Linked DNA regions of Arabidopsis thaliana. The protein of the gene in region 1 interacts with the protein of each later gene in a pairwise test. Each region holds a gene or a part of one and is shown on either strand. Other genes may lie near its edges.

Region 1 (8,548 bases):
GCTGTTATAACAACAATCATCACCAATCCGATTTTAGAGAGAACAATAAGAGAAACGAGATAAAGGGTCTTTTTTACCTGCGTGACAAGATTCCCATAGTTAGGTTTTTATTACAACTTTTGATTATAAACTCCAATTGTCATCAACACCATCTCACTCATGTTTATCGATAAAAACAAACTGTAATTAATCTCTTGAGCTATACGATCAAAACAAAGCACGAATGATCTAATTAAACAACAATGCTACATTTAACGTGTGATTAACCATGAATTTTCTAGACGACAAAACACGAAAGTGATAAAAAGAAAACTCGAATTTATAAAAATGACATTACAAAGTAGAACACCACAAAATTTTGAGACGCATAGAGACCTAGCTATTATAACACCAAGAAGTTGCATACATATGAGTGGGAAACTCATATCTTTTATGGGGAACCAAGATTAATTTGGTCATACGTATTCAAGAGTTATCTCTCTAAGATTGTATTTGTTTTTATTTATTTATTTATGTTTTAGTTTTATTTATCATTTAGTTTCTTTCATTATTTTTATTTGTTGGTATAAGCATTTGTATTAATTTGTCATCAGATATATTAAAAAAACTATGTCTGTAATGAACATTTTATAATAATATATTATATATCATTTAGATTAAATAATATCTTTATTTAGTCAATCATTAATGATGATGCGGTCTTCTAGTTAAGGTCCATGGTTTTGTTAATGGCTTTTTCGAATGAGTCTTTGTCGATGAATACTTTCGTGAACCAACTGGGAATGTGATGATCATCTTCATATAATAGCTTGATGGCTGGTACTAATTCCATGAGAAGTACCTTAAAGCTATAGACATCAGCTTTTGTAGTTAGTCACTGTAATTACAAAGAGGAGTCATAAATCAAATATATTGGTGATCAGATGTAAATATTGACATATTAAAGAAGAATCTTACATGCTTATTTTGGTGCAATGTAACCAGCTGTTCCAAAACACTTTGTCCTGATCGATTCTCTGCCCTCTGCTGTAGACCATGCCAAACCAAAGTCAGAAATTTTTCTAATTTGTTTTTGGAAACAAGTTAATTCGTGGTTTGACCAAATACTAAAAAAACGCATAGGTTAATCAAAACCAAATTGTACATTTGCTTATCTTTTACTTATATTTTACTTATATTTTGCATAAAAAAAAAAATTGTGTTTGTTAGTTCCTTGTATTGTTCTTCTTTTTTTTTTTTACTTAATTAGTAACATTTTGTATAATTATTGCAGTATCATTCAACTTTAAGAAATTACACGATTTCTTCCATTCAAAAAGTAAGCGAAGAAATTACACTCCTTCTCTCATAAATGAGGAATGCATTCTGAAAATTTATTTGTTTTACTCACTGCATATATAAACAATTCACGTTAAAATTATGATTTTTTAGACCATGTAATAGTTTTTTTTTTAATAAAACTATAAACTAAATATAGAAAGTTAGAAACAAACAACATTGAGATACTGAGATGCATCATCACTAAAATTTTTTTAAAAAGATAATAAATAAATAAATCTGGCATCAGTTTTTTTTTTATAAGTTAGTTTGACTTTTAAACTGACGGTAGAATTATATAGTCATTTTAGAAAGCGATGCTAAATTCAGTGAAACTAAAACAATTTAGCATCACTCTTTTAAATGATGTTATAATTTAAGATAAACATCATTTTTGTTAGTGAGGTTATAAATCCTTTGGTATCATTTTTAATTATTGATGCTAACTATTTTTAGTATTAAATTTGAAAGTTACGTGAAATTTTGATTTTACATTCATATCATTACTCAAAAACGATTCAAATTAAATAATATGTTTTTTAAAAAATTAGCTATTATATAAAAAGCATAATCAATAAATAGGAAAATTAAAATAGAAAAACATCTCATTTCATAAGAGAAGTTCTACCAATACATTATTCAAAATTAATAATTAAAATACAAAAAACATAGCTTTTCTCCTCAAACTAAGTAAGTAATAAGAGTCTCATGCTCTCTATTTGCACGAAGCAAATAGGATTGATTACCATTACTCTCTTTTGTGTACCATATTCTATTTCTTTTTTGTTATTAGTTTTTAAACAAAACTGTTTACTAGTCTATGTTCTGTTATGTTTGTTTGAGTTTTTATGTTAAATTTCATAACTTATTATGTATAAAATTATCGTTTGTTATGTCACTGTATTTTTTAATTTAATACATTATTGTTGTATTTTTAAATTTCAATTAACTGGATAACCATATTAGTATTGATTAAATGCCCAATGTATACCTAAAACATATAGATTTGTTCGTGTATTACTGAAAACATATTTAAATTTGAAAATCATTCTGAAAATGAAAATTTTATCCAAATTATGAGTATTCATTAGTCATTAGTCTATTTTCAGAGTGGATCTAGTCTACCATTGGAAATAGCCAAATAGTTTTTTTTTTTTGTCAAAAGGAATATGTTTACTTAAAAATAGAATTTGTAGGCAGATTTGATGTTCATTAGAGATATGATGCAAGAGAGTTATTTTCTCGAGACTATTTTCTCTGATTAATTGTTGGGCTTGTTCGTTTATTAATCGCTGTGACAGCAATAGGGACTCCGACGAAAAGCAAAAATTATAACGGAGATACAAAAACAGTCGTTCAATATGGACGCCGGCGGCGTCCTTAGTGAAAATGTTAAGTTGCTGTTATTTTTTGGCGACACGTGTATATGCCTTATAGGTCGCTGTTTTTAAAATCGAGCGACTCCTCTTCACATAACTTTCTACAGACTTCAACGTAATTGTGTGTTAAGCAACTGTTTTTTTGGTCGCTGGATATGATCGCAGCGTTTGGAAAAAGAACAGGCCAACAAAAAATATTTATATCCTCTTACTATTATAACAACGAAATCGATAAGAAGGAAACAACAAATGAAATGTTCTTTTCTAAAGTCTCAAACTAAGATGTTATCCAAATACATTTGAGAACTAATTACAAAATGATATAACATTAATAAACAACAAACAAAATAAAGCCGAAAACCAAAATAAAAACAAGAAAATAACGAAAACAATAAAAAAAACTGCAGAGAAAAAAGCCAGAAGAATAGCTCTCAAATTCTCTCATTATCATCTCTTTACAAATTCTTCCTTTTTTTGTTACTCTTAACGCTTTTTTCTTCATCGTCCGATTGTACCGTCACTAAGATCGACCCGCCACGTCATTTATCCACAACACCTTAAAAATCTCTAAAATATTCACAAAATCAGATCGAGTCGCCACGTCATCAAAGACTCGATCCAAGTCGACTCAACCGAGTGAGTTCTCTCTACTGAGTCTTGCATACATCTCCGCTCTCAGCTCTTTCCCAGATTCCACAAATTCCATCGCCGGAGCTTCTTCGATCTCAAACTCTCTTATCCTCGGCCACGTTGCCGCCTGAATCGGACGCAGAGACGACGAAAAAGGTAACCTAACTGCAGATCTCATCGGAGAACTCCACGAACAACCACCTCCGTTCAATTGCATTTTCCTCATCGACGCAATAAGTTCACCGGTACTCGGAGAAAGCGGCGGAGATTCCGACGGTGGTGAAAACGAAGGAGAAACAAGAATCGAAGTCGGAGAAGTAGCTAATCCTGAGAAGAATCCAAGATCTGGATCTAACGAACAAGGTAATACACGTAACTGCTCCGTCGTATGAGCGAAGAAACAGATTCTTCTCCGGCAGCTAGTTCCGTCTTTACACGGCTGAGTACGGTAACGAGAAGGATGGAGCCAACACTCGAAAACTCCATGAGAGAACTCACACGAATCACCTCTTCTACAACTTCCTTTACGAAACTCAGGACAAGCGGTGCCGGAGTAATGAAACTTTCTCGGATCACGTCGTCGAGCTTTTTCTCCGGGATGTGCGAACGGACACTCCGTCCAATCATGAGATCGACCTCGAGCGCATCGCCGGATTTTGAACTCGTAGATGCGAAACTCGTCGGAGGAGAATGAGTCGGTGAGTGGTGATGACTCGTCGCCACTTGATGAGTCTGAATCGTTTGTTAACTCGTTTGACGGGAGGTAACGGAAGAGAGAAGCGAAGGAGTCGAGATACGGTGACGGAGAGTGTGGGTAGTCGTTAACGCTGTTAAGGTTGACGGAAGAGAATGGTGAAGAGATTGTGGCCGTTGGATCGTTGATTTGATCCCATTGAGGGATATGGATCGTTGGATGTGGCCGGTTTTTATTTTCGCCGATCATCATTTTTGTTTAGTGAGTCTAGAAGAGAGAGAGGTGTGTGTCTGTGATATAAACTGCTTTATTTTAACCATGGTTGGGTCAAATATTAACTACGGTAAAGTTATGAAAATCTTGACCCTATCCACAATACCGTACGGTAAACAATTAATAAGCGCAAATCTGCAGATGATGACACGTGTAAGAAAAAATCTCCAATTTTTGTTCGTCTTTTGTTTTTTTCCCCTTCATGTTCGTCTTTTTTTTTTTTTTTTTTTCTTCATATTTGTCCCCCCAAAAAAAAAAAAAATGTTTTCAAAGCTTTAAAAATATTTAAAAATTTTCAAATTTATTTTTTAATCAATCACACTTTTAAAACTTTATTAATTTTTAAAGTTTTAAAAGCTTTTTTCTCTCCATTTACTTTTTTTCTTTTGTTTTTTTCCTAAAGTCTTTAACTTTAAAAGAGAATAATAAAACAAAATAAAAATATTTTTTCTTTATCCATAAAATTTCAAAACTCTTTTCAAATTTATTTATATTTTATCATTAAAAAATCGATTGATTAATTCGAATTTTATTTTTTCTGTTCTTTTCAGATCCAATTTAAATATTTAAAATAGTGAATTTGTAAAATGAATTTTGTATTTTTTTAAAATAAATTTATTTTAGTTACTATTTTACCAAATAAATTGATTTTTTAGCATAAATAATATTTATAAAAAATATTAAATAATAATAAAAATAATTGTGATTTTTTTGTACCAATCAGACTTTAACAGTTAAAGTTTCTATCGTCAAAATTTTTACAACCAAAATTTTTACAGTCAAAGTCGTAACATCCGAAATATTTAGAGTTCAAAAGTAACAGCCGTTACCAATCAGCCCCAACATCTACTTTATTACGCTTTCCGTTTTAAATTAATTGTCAGAACATTAAAAAAATAATTAGAATAAATATCAATTTACATTTTTAAAAGCTAATTTTGACTACAAACAAAATTAAAGTTTTATTTGCAGTGATTTATGTTTTAACCAATAAGAAATTTTGTAAAGTAAAAAATAAAACAAATTATTAATATGTGTGTCAAAACCTAAAACAACATTTTTGGAGTATCACTAACCAAAAGTTATATAGTCACATAAAACATAGGGATACATTAATTGAAGAAATTAAGATACACATTAAAAATTGAAAAAAAAAAAATTTCTATCATAACTCAAAGTTTATCACCAAAAATTGTGTTAATTATTCCGTAGCTGTTATTTGTTTATAAAGATTTAGATCATTTTGACCAGACTGTAACTATTAGATCATTTTGAAGAATCGTAGAATCATACTATTTTATTTGCAATTATATGAATTAGTCCACACTAATATTAAGGGTCTAGCGATATGAAACATAAGACATTACAGTAAGAAAATATTTGGACGGTACAGTATATATTACTTGTCACGTGACTTTCAAGGTCGTAGACTACTCCCCATGACCTGACAAGAGTGAATAAATTTGGTTATTGTCCCCCATTTTTTCTAGATCATGGAAGGATGCAACGTACGTAGCTTTTATGAAATAAATTTCGAACATTAATTTTAACTTTTGGCTCTCCAGCTGATGGGAGTAAATTGACATGCTCCAAAGAAAGAAACACAAGTCACCTAGTGATTTTCAAGAAAATGTGCTTCCTTCAAAATATCCGAGGTCTAAGATGAAATAGTTTTAAAAATTGTTATGCGGGGCATATATTATTAGAGTGTTGTGCACTTGTAACCTTCCAGAAAATAAGCAATTTGGACGATATTTTAAGGTTTGGTCCATGTTCCAGTATCGTGTTAGGGTCCACTGCTTCGAGATCTACTTGATTGATACTCTTCCATTTGTTTTCTAATTGTTTGATGCAAAGGTTATCCATTAAGGGAAACTTATCTATATCACGTGGAATACTCACTGCAAAAGATTCGCAATATTAGACTTATAATTGTCACTAATCAGACCATTAAACAAATATCAAATTGATTAATATGTTGAATTTAATAATCCAATTTGACCTCTTTCAGATAGGGCTTTGGGGACAAATCTTCTTAAATCGCACCAAACTTTTATTATAAGATAATTTTTGGTTCGTGGCTATTAAATTAAGCCTGAAAATTTAAACATATGTTTCACTTACAAGCGTCAAGTATGGATAAACAATGATTAATCATAAGCTATCATAATGACAAAAAGAAGTATGATCGTTATCAGTTCTCTTATGCATAAACTATTGATAAAATTATAATAGTCACGAGATGATTGATCGAGCACGATAACTATTATAATAGTCACGAGAGAATGATGTGAAAGTTTAAGAATGCGTCTAAACCAACAATAAAATAATTTAAATAGTTATAATTGAATACACATTCTATATTAGTAAACATTCAAATTATTTAAAATATCTACGAGACACAATAGCCTCCCAACAACCATTCGTACATTCACTTTCTCATTAGAAAGAAAACGTATCCTAATTTGTTGTTTTCTCTATGAATGTTAATATCATCTAATAAGTCCATATAGACTATATCTAATAAATCCATATAGACTATTGTCTCTGAATATCAATGGATTTGAATCTTTGGCCAAAAAATTAAACAAAGAGACAAATGATGTAGAAGTCACATTACATAGTGGGAGTTAAAATTAACCAGAGTTTGCATTAGGTTGCAATAACGCTTGCATTTACGTCTTGCGGTGCTTACGTTCTGAATCTCTTTGTCGATGAGCTTGAAGATAGTTGATATTGGGATCGAGACTTGGTTGTGAACCACATCATTCCTTTGCTTCCACATATATCCTAACATTTATCTAAACAATCTGGTGCTAGAAGAAAGAGATTATCAAACTGATGCAATGACAAACTACGAAACACCACTCCATAACAAAAAAACTTAACCGTATATCGATCCTCAACTTTAGGAATAATCCTAACGCCGCACCCACCCGGCACCTGGCACCCACCACTTGAAAAATTCATAGCTCATGGCCAGTAGGGAACCGCGGAGGAAACTTACTCAGTCCATTGCGAGGATAAGGACAAAAGTACTCCTTCAATTATTCTAGAAAACCAATCAGACGTTGACAAAGAACCTCGTTTGAAAGTACAACTGCTCTACAAGACTGCATTGCCCACTACAAGCAGTGAATGTTGTCCACCCTCAGCTTCTTTATACGTTCGTGAAGCATGCATGTGCATTTTGTTGGTGCGCGCATAGTAAGCCATGCCATGCAATTCAATGCCAATGGTTTACGAACATATAGACAAGTAAAGTTTTCAATTATTTCATGAGTACCTAAAAACCACATTCATAGAACAGTTTGCAAGTATTCGAAATTTGGGAAAACATGCATACGACCTCACCGCATCTCTCAAAGGCCGAATACAATTTTTGAGGAATGATTAAACAAAGAAATATTTTTACAATCACACTAACTACAATACGTTCATGAAGACAACGTAAATGACACGAGCCATTTAGCGCAGCCTTCGAAATTTATTTAGCGAGTATAGATAAAGTGGTTCAAGCCTTGGTATTGATACACAAAATTCACAAACCTTGCAATTTTCTTTTTGAACATAAAAACAACAATATTATTTCAAATCAAACGGACCACACTCAAAACTACATTTACATATACCAAGAAAGCCACCATATAATTCTAGAAGCCAGACGGTGACCAAGTAATTGGCATTTATTAATTTACTTAATTCGTTATCATCTTTCCTTACACTAGCTATTTCACAATCATAAAACAGAAAATACCGATCAGCAATTAAACACACAAAAAATTGTATGGAAAATAGAAAATAAAATTTTAGATAGATCTTTTCAAAAAGGTAAGAACAGTATTAAAAAAACATACGTAGGATAATCATAAAACTTAATACAACATATAGATCCATATAATTATTAAACTCTAATGAGTAGTTGTTGTGGTTTGGTGTGTTTGTTGTGGCTGCGAGTGCGTATAATGTCCCAACTCTTTGGCTTTCTCCGCTATCCTCATCCTCGCGTAATCCACCTTATCCGCTCCCATCGGGTGTTTTCCGGTAACGTACTTATAAATCCACGTTAACGCCGTAGCTGCTGCCACCCCACAACCACCGGAGAATAGGAATCCCATCGTCAAAAGCCCTATCGTTATCACTGCCGGTACCAACACCGGGCTGAACAGAACCATCAACGGCGTCGCTACGATCAAACCGATCACCGTTCCGGTTAGTGTTAGTCCTGAGAGCACGAGGAGTGATAGGCCGATCG
Region 2 (8,340 bases), on another chromosome or scaffold:
CAATGAAAAAGGCTATCCTTGTGTACAAGAGAAACTATCTTCTTTCCCAGACCGCTCTGGCTTGATTTTTCCTTTTTTACAAAACTAACTAATCTAACTGCTAATTGTGAAATCATAATGTGACATGTATAGTTTGATAAGACAGTGGAACATTGTTGATACGACGACAAGATTTGACAATTTTGGACTTTTGGTCGATGTAATATAACACAAGAGTGAAGAGATTGTGGTTTGAATTTAAGAGTGAACGGTCACAAAACAACAATGTTTAAGTTATTCACAACTTTGCATCATTATAGATTTATAAGCCGAGAAGAGCATAATCTGATTTTTCTTCTTGGTGATACTTTGCATTTTCAAGGTTAATAGTTTTCTTCTGGATCATCATTTTCAAGATTATATGAAAATAATCTAATTAGTACACGTTCATTAAACAAACATTTCGTTTATTCTTGTGAGTAGAAAAATAAGAGACGGATGTTTGACCGTTGACTGGAAATCTATATGTAAGTGGGGAATGCACGTGCGGGTGTCACTACACACACGTGTGCTTCGCTGGAGTGGGTGGTTTTGGGTCGCATAAGAATATGTGCGCCACGTCAATTCCACATGGGTAGCCCATAAGATTTTACGCACCACCCAACTTTCGAAGCTCTCTCTCAAGATTCTCCAATATGATTTTCATTTTTTATCCTTATAATCATTGAAGAAATTATGACTTTAAACAAAATCATTGAAGAAATTATAATCCCTATCTTTATTTTTGGCATGGGAATCTCAATGATCGATCATATTATTACCATTAGTAATAACAAGCCTCAATTTTAACGTCAAAAAATAATCAAAACTGTCACATACGCATTTTCGTTAATAATTAAAGCTTAGTGTTTATTTTTAAAATACTATAAGAGTCCAACAATCATGTGATGCAAACCTCAAATTCCGAGCTTCTCTAGAATAAGAATAAGCTGCTTTGTGTGATGATCATAATTATGCATGTTGATTGATTTTTCCTAAATCTAAAAAATAATCAAATATTCCAGTTAACAGATCTCAGTACATGTGAGAGGACAATTAGACAAAATCTAATGTACTATTTGTTTAGAGAATAATTGGTTAGTTAGGTTAAGGAAAAAACAGAGAGTATAAAATATCCCCAATGATGACCTCGTTCTACAGCCAAAATGCTGTAAAGAACATTCAAAGCTAATATACACATGCATGAAACATATGATTAAGCAACTAAAACCATGATTATTAGTCCTACGCAATTGCCAAACATATAAAATGATTACAACACATACTTTTAAAATATTCCGTTGCCTATGATTTTGTTTTGTGTTGTGGTACTCAACTTTGGATTTGGATCTGTGATGTAGGCCTGCAGCTTTTATTTCAAATAATATATATATATTTTATTTCCGAAGGAAACTAAGTAATCGAAATGGTGTATTCAATTCAATATTTCACTTATCATGTAAATTGAGAAACTAAGGTAAGACTGTAAGAGAATGCTCATACCCTTCTGCACTACCTCCAAATAGACGAGGCTCTACTGAAAAAATCGGAATAATGTGAAATAACAAGTTGCTGTTTGGACGCCATATCTCAATTTGCTATATCTACAAATTAACGATACCAAAGTGCTAGTAGGGGCTAAATGCAGAAATTTAAGCCATTCACCATTACGGATAGAACATGAAATTCTCATTTAAGCTATGCTACTTGAATATGTTCTCGTTAAGAATTGTTTCACCCTAGTGCAAGATCCGCGGTCATGCTCAATTAAGTGCTAAAAGTTAGACTAGTAGACCAAATTTGAATCCGATATATATATTACCTTGGTGCCGAACTCAAACTTAGACATGCTCGAACCTCAACACCAAGAACACTCGATGTTTTTGCCAATACTTACATAAAAGCTATTGGAGGATCACTAATAAATGATTGATCATCAATCATCATGCTTTGCGGACTCTCTTTTTCGTTGAGGGGTAAATGATTACAAATAAACATGCGCGCGTGGATATAACGCACTTGGTCAGTGCGTGTGGCACAAGTCAGAGTGAACACGTGGGACAGCCAGATCACACTGAAACACAACTCCGACATCTTGTCGGATCTTATGTAAAGCGTTGGGTCCCACTTTTCATAATATCTCTCACCACGAAACCCATCTTTTTGCTCTCAATTATTGTCGCTCATTGCCGTATCTCTTCATAATTTCACTATATACATGTCTACGTTAGGCGGAAATTATTAAATTGTTTTTGGAATTTTAGTTTACATGTTATTTTTTTCTAAATAAACATGAAATATATTTACAAAAGTATATCCAAACCATCATTTTTTTATTGTTTACATATACACTAATGACACTTTTATTTGGATTGTGAATTATGATTATGCAACGATCACTAGTAGTTTACTAGAACAATTAAGTTTACATGCTTCAGGCATTGTAAAACAACTATTTACAAAAACTGAAGTTAGTCTACAACTAGTTTTTGTGAAAAGAAAGGAATATTAGACGATAAAAAAGTAGGCAGCAGTTAAAGGAATCAAATAATTAACAAGTTAGCATTGATTGAGGCGGATGGTTACACATGATAAGGAGCAGGCGAGTGAGGAAACAACACAACACGCACGATCACGCTGTTATGACCCACATGCTCCTATCTCCATGTTACTGTACGCAAAGTGGTTATACATTTACACACACTTGACCAATATTGCTCACATTTAAATTTTTATTTCTAAAGGAAAAAGCACAAACATTTAAAGGTTTTACTGACGGAAGAAACGAAAAAAAGTAGTAGCTTTAAAATGTCATTGTTGATGAAAGTAGAAACCATGATGATGATATTTATGTGCAAATATTCATCTCACACGTATATCATTGGTTCATAACCGTTGGTTGGTCCACAACTTTGAACAAGTTCAGATTCTTTTTGATTGTGTTTTGTACCAACCACTCCAATTAGTCAATATTCCATTATATCCAACCTCAAATACTATTTTCCCTTTTCTCTTTAAAAAATATTTGGACAAATAATTGGCTACACTATTGGAGATTTGACTCAGCTCGGTATGCCGTAACTAATCAAGATACTATTTTCTATACTTTCTTTTATTGATATCCACATAATACATGTACTTTGAGTATAATGACGTGTACTTGATTAAGACAAAACGAAGTACGAGAATTATTGTATTTATCAACTTTGAGACATACTACATGATATGGATCATGAAAATTAACACAAGTAGTGCAAATTGCGTTATCCATATACAAAAAACATCGCACCTTGATGATTCACTTAATTGTAGATTACTTTCTCAGAGTGGTCCGGACATTTCTATTGGTTTTAAAGACATTGGCTTTAAATCTTCAGACACAAAACACATATACATGTGTACACTTGAAAACATATTGGCCATCTTATTTGTTTTGGACAAACTGCCATCTTATTATGCATGGGTTCTTGTAAGGAATAAACTAAAAATGTTTGTGAAAGAAAAAGAAAAACACAAATATTGAGAAAGTACAAAAAGAAAGACATGGCAAAGGCCAAAGGGGGGACACAAGTTGGAGATAAAGTAATACAAGTCCAAAAACAAAGAAACAATAATGATGGATTGTAATTAGCCACCTGACAAAATCTCTCATCATTCAAAGTACTATATTAATCCCCTCTCTTCTTCATTACCATCTCACATCTCTCTCTATTTCTCTTCCACAAAGAGTCCTAACTTCGAGTTGAAACAAACACCATTTCTCATCTCTATCTCAGAAAGAACAAACCATTTCGTGTTCTTTCTTTCTCTATTCTCATAAGGAAATATAATTCCTGAAACTGTTGAGTTCTTGTGAAAGGAAATAAAAAACATGATGATGGGCAAAGAAGATCTAGGTTTGAGCCTAAGCTTAGGGTTTTCACAAAATCACAATCCTCTTCAGATGAATCTGAATCCTAACTCTTCATTATCAAACAATCTCCAGAGACTCCCATGGAACCAAACATTCGATCCTACATCAGGTATATACTTAAATCTTCTCTGTTTTTTTTTTTAAAGAAACAGAACAGATTTCAGAATTGAAGTATGAGACTTTTCTTCGTTTCCAAGTAAAATAAAAACAGATCTCAAACTTAAAATTTGATTGCTCTTTGCAGATCTTCGCAAGATAGACGTGAACAGTTTTCCATCAACGGTTAACTGCGAGGAAGACACAGGAGTTTCGTCACCAAACAGTACGATCTCAAGCACCATTAGCGGGAAGAGAAGTGAGAGAGAAGGAATCTCCGGAACCGGCGTTGGCTCCGGCGACGATCACGACGAGATCACTCCGGATCGAGGGTACTCACGTGGAACCTCAGATGAAGAAGAAGACGGGGGCGAAACGTCGAGGAAGAAGCTCAGGTTATCAAAAGATCAGTCTGCTTTTCTCGAAGAGACTTTCAAAGAACACAACACTCTCAATCCCGTAAGTGTAAAAAAGTCAGAGGAATCAAATGATAATTATCGTAATTACTTTGAAATAACCAAGGTTATTATCATAATTTACAGAAACAGAAGCTAGCTTTGGCTAAGAAGCTGAACTTGACGGCAAGACAAGTGGAAGTGTGGTTCCAAAACAGAAGAGCTAGGTGAGATTTTCTTGTCTTAACACCAAAATTGTAAAATTACATTTATACCCCCTTGTGTAGAAGTTTTTACTTACAAGGTCCGATTTGGTTTTACAGAACCAAGTTAAAGCAAACGGAGGTAGATTGCGAATACTTGAAACGGTGCGTAGAGAAGCTAACGGAAGAGAACCGGAGACTTCAGAAAGAGGCTATGGAGCTTCGAACTCTCAAGCTGTCTCCACAATTCTACGGTCAGATGACTCCACCAACTACACTCATCATGTGTCCTTCGTGCGAGCGTGTGGGTGGCCCATCATCATCGAACCATCACCACAATCACAGGCCCGTTTCTATCAATCCGTGGGTTGCTTGTGCTGGTCAGGTGGCTCATGGGCTGAATTTTGAAGCCTTGCGTCCACGATCGTGATTTTTTATTTTAGTGGTGGGAAAAGGGTGTTTTGGTATTTTTCGTTATCGTTATATAGTCTATCTGTGTGGGGTCATTGTAATTTTGGATGATTGGCCTTCTCATGAACTAGTCCTATGTATGATGCAACCTTAAAAAGATTTAAATTAGCAAAAATTAGTTACAAACTTGCTATATTAACCAAAAATTATGAAACTATCTTTTTTTGATATCTTACAAGAGTTCTAAATTAAACCAAAAATTCACAAACGTCTTCTAGATAAATACACAGTTTCTGAGCATGGTATAAGTGTAGCTTATATGCAGTTGCTCAAAAAAGAAAAGAAAAAGAAGTGTAGCTTATTTGAAGTTCTTAACGAAATCATGAAATCTTGTGACCTAATCTGACTTCAATTGCTTTTCCGATTCAGATCTGACAAAGATGTATGAGCAATTCTTATTGGGTCTTAATGGGCTACATTATTATGTCGGCCCATACGTTTAGTCTTTCGTCGTCGTTTCCATCTGCGAAAGCGAAACTCTCCTATTTCTCTCACTCAAGTCTCATTCTTACGATTTTCTTAACGAAATCTTTCATCAATCGCTACACTTATAGCGACCCAGATGCCAAATTCATTGATTTCTCGTCTGGTATCTCCTTCATTACGATCTCAGCCCTCAAAAATCTCAGCTTTACGTTTTTTAACAACTGTCTCAGCCGCCGAGAGATTATACGGCCAGCTTCAAGGATGCACAAGTAATCTCGAGAAAGAATTAGCTTCGGCTAATGTACAATTAGACTCCTCTTGTATCAACGAGGTACTAAGAAGATGCGATCCAAATCAATTTCAATCGGGTCTTAGGTTTTTCATATGGGCAGGAACTCTATCCAGCCATAGACACAGTGCTTACATGTATACCAAAGCTTGCGACATTCTTAAGATTAGAGCAAAGCCAGATTTGATCAAATACGTTATTGAATCTTATCGGAAAGAAGAATGCTTTGTTAATGTTAAGACGATGAGGATTGTTCTGACTCTGTGTAATCAAGCGAATCTCGCTGATGAGGCATTGTGGGTATTAAGGAAGTTTCCTGAATTTAATGTATGTGCAGACACTGTTGCGTATAATTTGGTGATTAGGTTGTTTGCTGATAAGGGAGATTTGAATATAGCTGATATGTTGATAAAAGAGATGGATTGTGTTGGTCTTTATCCAGATGTGATTACTTATACGTCGATGATCAATGGGTATTGCAATGCGGGTAAGATTGATGACGCTTGGAGGTTAGCTAAGGAGATGAGTAAGCATGATTGCGTGCTTAACAGTGTGACGTATTCTAGGATTCTTGAAGGAGTTTGCAAGTCTGGTGATATGGAGAGAGCGTTAGAGTTGTTGGCGGAGATGGAGAAAGAAGACGGTGGTGGATTGATTAGTCCGAATGCGGTTACTTATACTTTGGTGATTCAAGCGTTTTGTGAGAAGAGGAGGGTTGAAGAGGCGTTGTTGGTATTGGATAGAATGGGAAACCGAGGGTGCATGCCGAATCGTGTTACTGCTTGTGTTTTGATTCAGGGGGTTTTGGAGAATGATGAGGATGTGAAGGCTCTTTCTAAGTTGATTGATAAGTTGGTGAAACTAGGCGGTGTTTCTCTTTCTGAGTGTTTTAGTTCGGCTACTGTGTCGCTAATCCGTATGAAAAGATGGGAAGAGGCTGAAAAGATTTTCCGTCTGATGTTGGTCCGCGGGGTTAGACCTGATGGTCTTGCGTGCAGTCATGTTTTCAGGGAGTTATGTTTGTTGGAAAGGTATCTCGATTGTTTCCTTCTGTATCAAGAAATCGAGAAGAAGGATGTGAAATCAACAATAGACTCGGATATACATGCGGTTCTTTTGCTCGGTCTCTGCCAACAGGGGAATTCTTGGGAAGCTGCTAAGCTTGCGAAATCAATGCTTGACAAGAAAATGAGATTGAAAGTTTCTCATGTTGAGAAAATCATTGAAGCCTTGAAGAAAACTGGTGATGAAGATCTCATGAGTCGTTTCTCTATTGATTAATTCAATTTATTCAGATAGTATGCTTTTATTATTCATATAAGAAGAAGGATTATTGTGTCACACAATCATCACTGAGCTTATTCGACATTGGATGAATTAGTATAGCGATTGAACTATTTGCTCATTTTAAGGATGCAAGGGCTCCTTGGTCTTGCGGTTGAGTCTTGGTGGGGCAGACTGTTGATCCTGGAGAAGAGGTACGACGTATTTGACGAGATCTTCGTCCGCCATTATTAAGTGGTCACCGGTTACATTCACAAACTGCACTTTTCCAGCAACAACCAATGCTTTCAGACCTATCCAATCTTCTATATAGAGCTTTGTCTCTTGAACAGGGAGAACATGTGTTAAGTCACCATCCGGATAAAACCCGAACCAAGATGACTCTTTTGGAACAATAACCGTATCGTTCTCAAACTGTATAAAAGAAAAACAAATCATCACGAGAGGAATCAGAAGATAGTAGACAACTATAATAGTTAAGAGAAGAGAAGCGAACCAGGACAAAAACCAGGTTCTGTAAACTTGCGAAACGGTCTTTGTAAGTTGTGTTTCTTTCGTATGGTCTCTCATTGTTAAGCTTAGGTAGATACTGACAGTCTTTCAGGTACCCTGTCACATTCTGTGAAACAGAAAAAATAATGTTAAGCTTAGGTAGATACTAATTTGTTGATTTTGCAAGTTTCCTAATAAACTATGGTGAATAGAGACATACTTTAGGGTTTTTGAAATAACCACTAGGAGCAAGATTATCCTGCAAAAGTCATTCAAAGATTTTAATTAATTTTCTAATTGACGACTTAATCATATGATGTAAAGAGAGAGAAAGAGATCAATACTTGAACAAAGTCGCTGTAGGGATTTTCCTTGCCTATCCCATTTGCTATGTCACAAATTAAGCCAGACTTGAACAAGGAAAACCAAAAACAACAGAAAAATACAATGTTGTGACTGTGATTGATTGATTAAAAATGAAATCAAAGATATATATTTGATATTTAGAGGAAATAAAAAAGCTTACAGTATTACACCGAAGAAGATCGGCGGTGCCAGCATGAGGACCAGCCAAGGATATATAGTTGTGAACAGGAGGCCCACCTTCGCAGAACTCGATTAAGCCTCGAGCCACTAAGCTCCCCTGTTCCATCATTCATCAACATCCATGAAACTTAAACAATATGTACATATAATGATCAAAACCCGATTTTAGGGTTTTCAAGAACCTGAGCTCTTCCAACAATGTTGTAT

What was found. The genes of interacting proteins can lie anywhere in the genome.
Region 2: the proteins of ATCTH (region 1) and HAT2 interact in a two-hybrid assay, tested with the Arabidopsis thaliana proteins (one large-scale study listed by BioGRID).

The regions. Positions count from the first base shown.
Region 1 is NC_003071.7:11,037,541-11,046,088, reverse strand, and holds ATCTH (Zinc finger C-x8-C-x5-C-x3-H type family protein), read right to left. Parts: upstream 4,759-8,548; 5' UTR 4,616-4,758; intron 4,524-4,615; 5' UTR 4,273-4,523; coding exon 3,325-4,272; 3' UTR 2,833-3,324; downstream 1-2,832. Other genes in the region: AT2G25905 (uncharacterized protein), read right to left, coding at 1-1, 78-97; AT2G25890 (Oleosin family protein), read right to left, coding at 8,205-8,548.
Region 2 is NC_003076.8:19,213,197-19,221,536, reverse strand, and holds HAT2 (Homeobox-leucine zipper protein 4 (HB-4) / HD-ZIP protein), read left to right. Parts: upstream 1-3,529; 5' UTR 3,530-3,889; coding exon 3,890-4,040; intron 4,041-4,175; coding exon 4,176-4,486; intron 4,487-4,569; coding exon 4,570-4,649; intron 4,650-4,745; coding exon 4,746-5,055; 3' UTR 5,056-5,266; downstream 5,267-8,340. Other genes in the region: AT5G47380 (electron transporter, putative (Protein of unknown function, DUF547)), read left to right, coding at 1-65; AT5G47360 (Tetratricopeptide repeat (TPR)-like superfamily protein), read left to right, coding at 5,659-7,092; AT5G47350 (alpha/beta-Hydrolases superfamily protein), read right to left, coding at 7,219-7,509, 7,592-7,714, 7,808-7,846, 7,932-7,997, 8,114-8,230, 8,316-8,340. UniProt on the Arabidopsis thaliana protein: Probable transcription factor that plays a role in auxin-mediated morphogenesis. Negatively regulates lateral root elongation.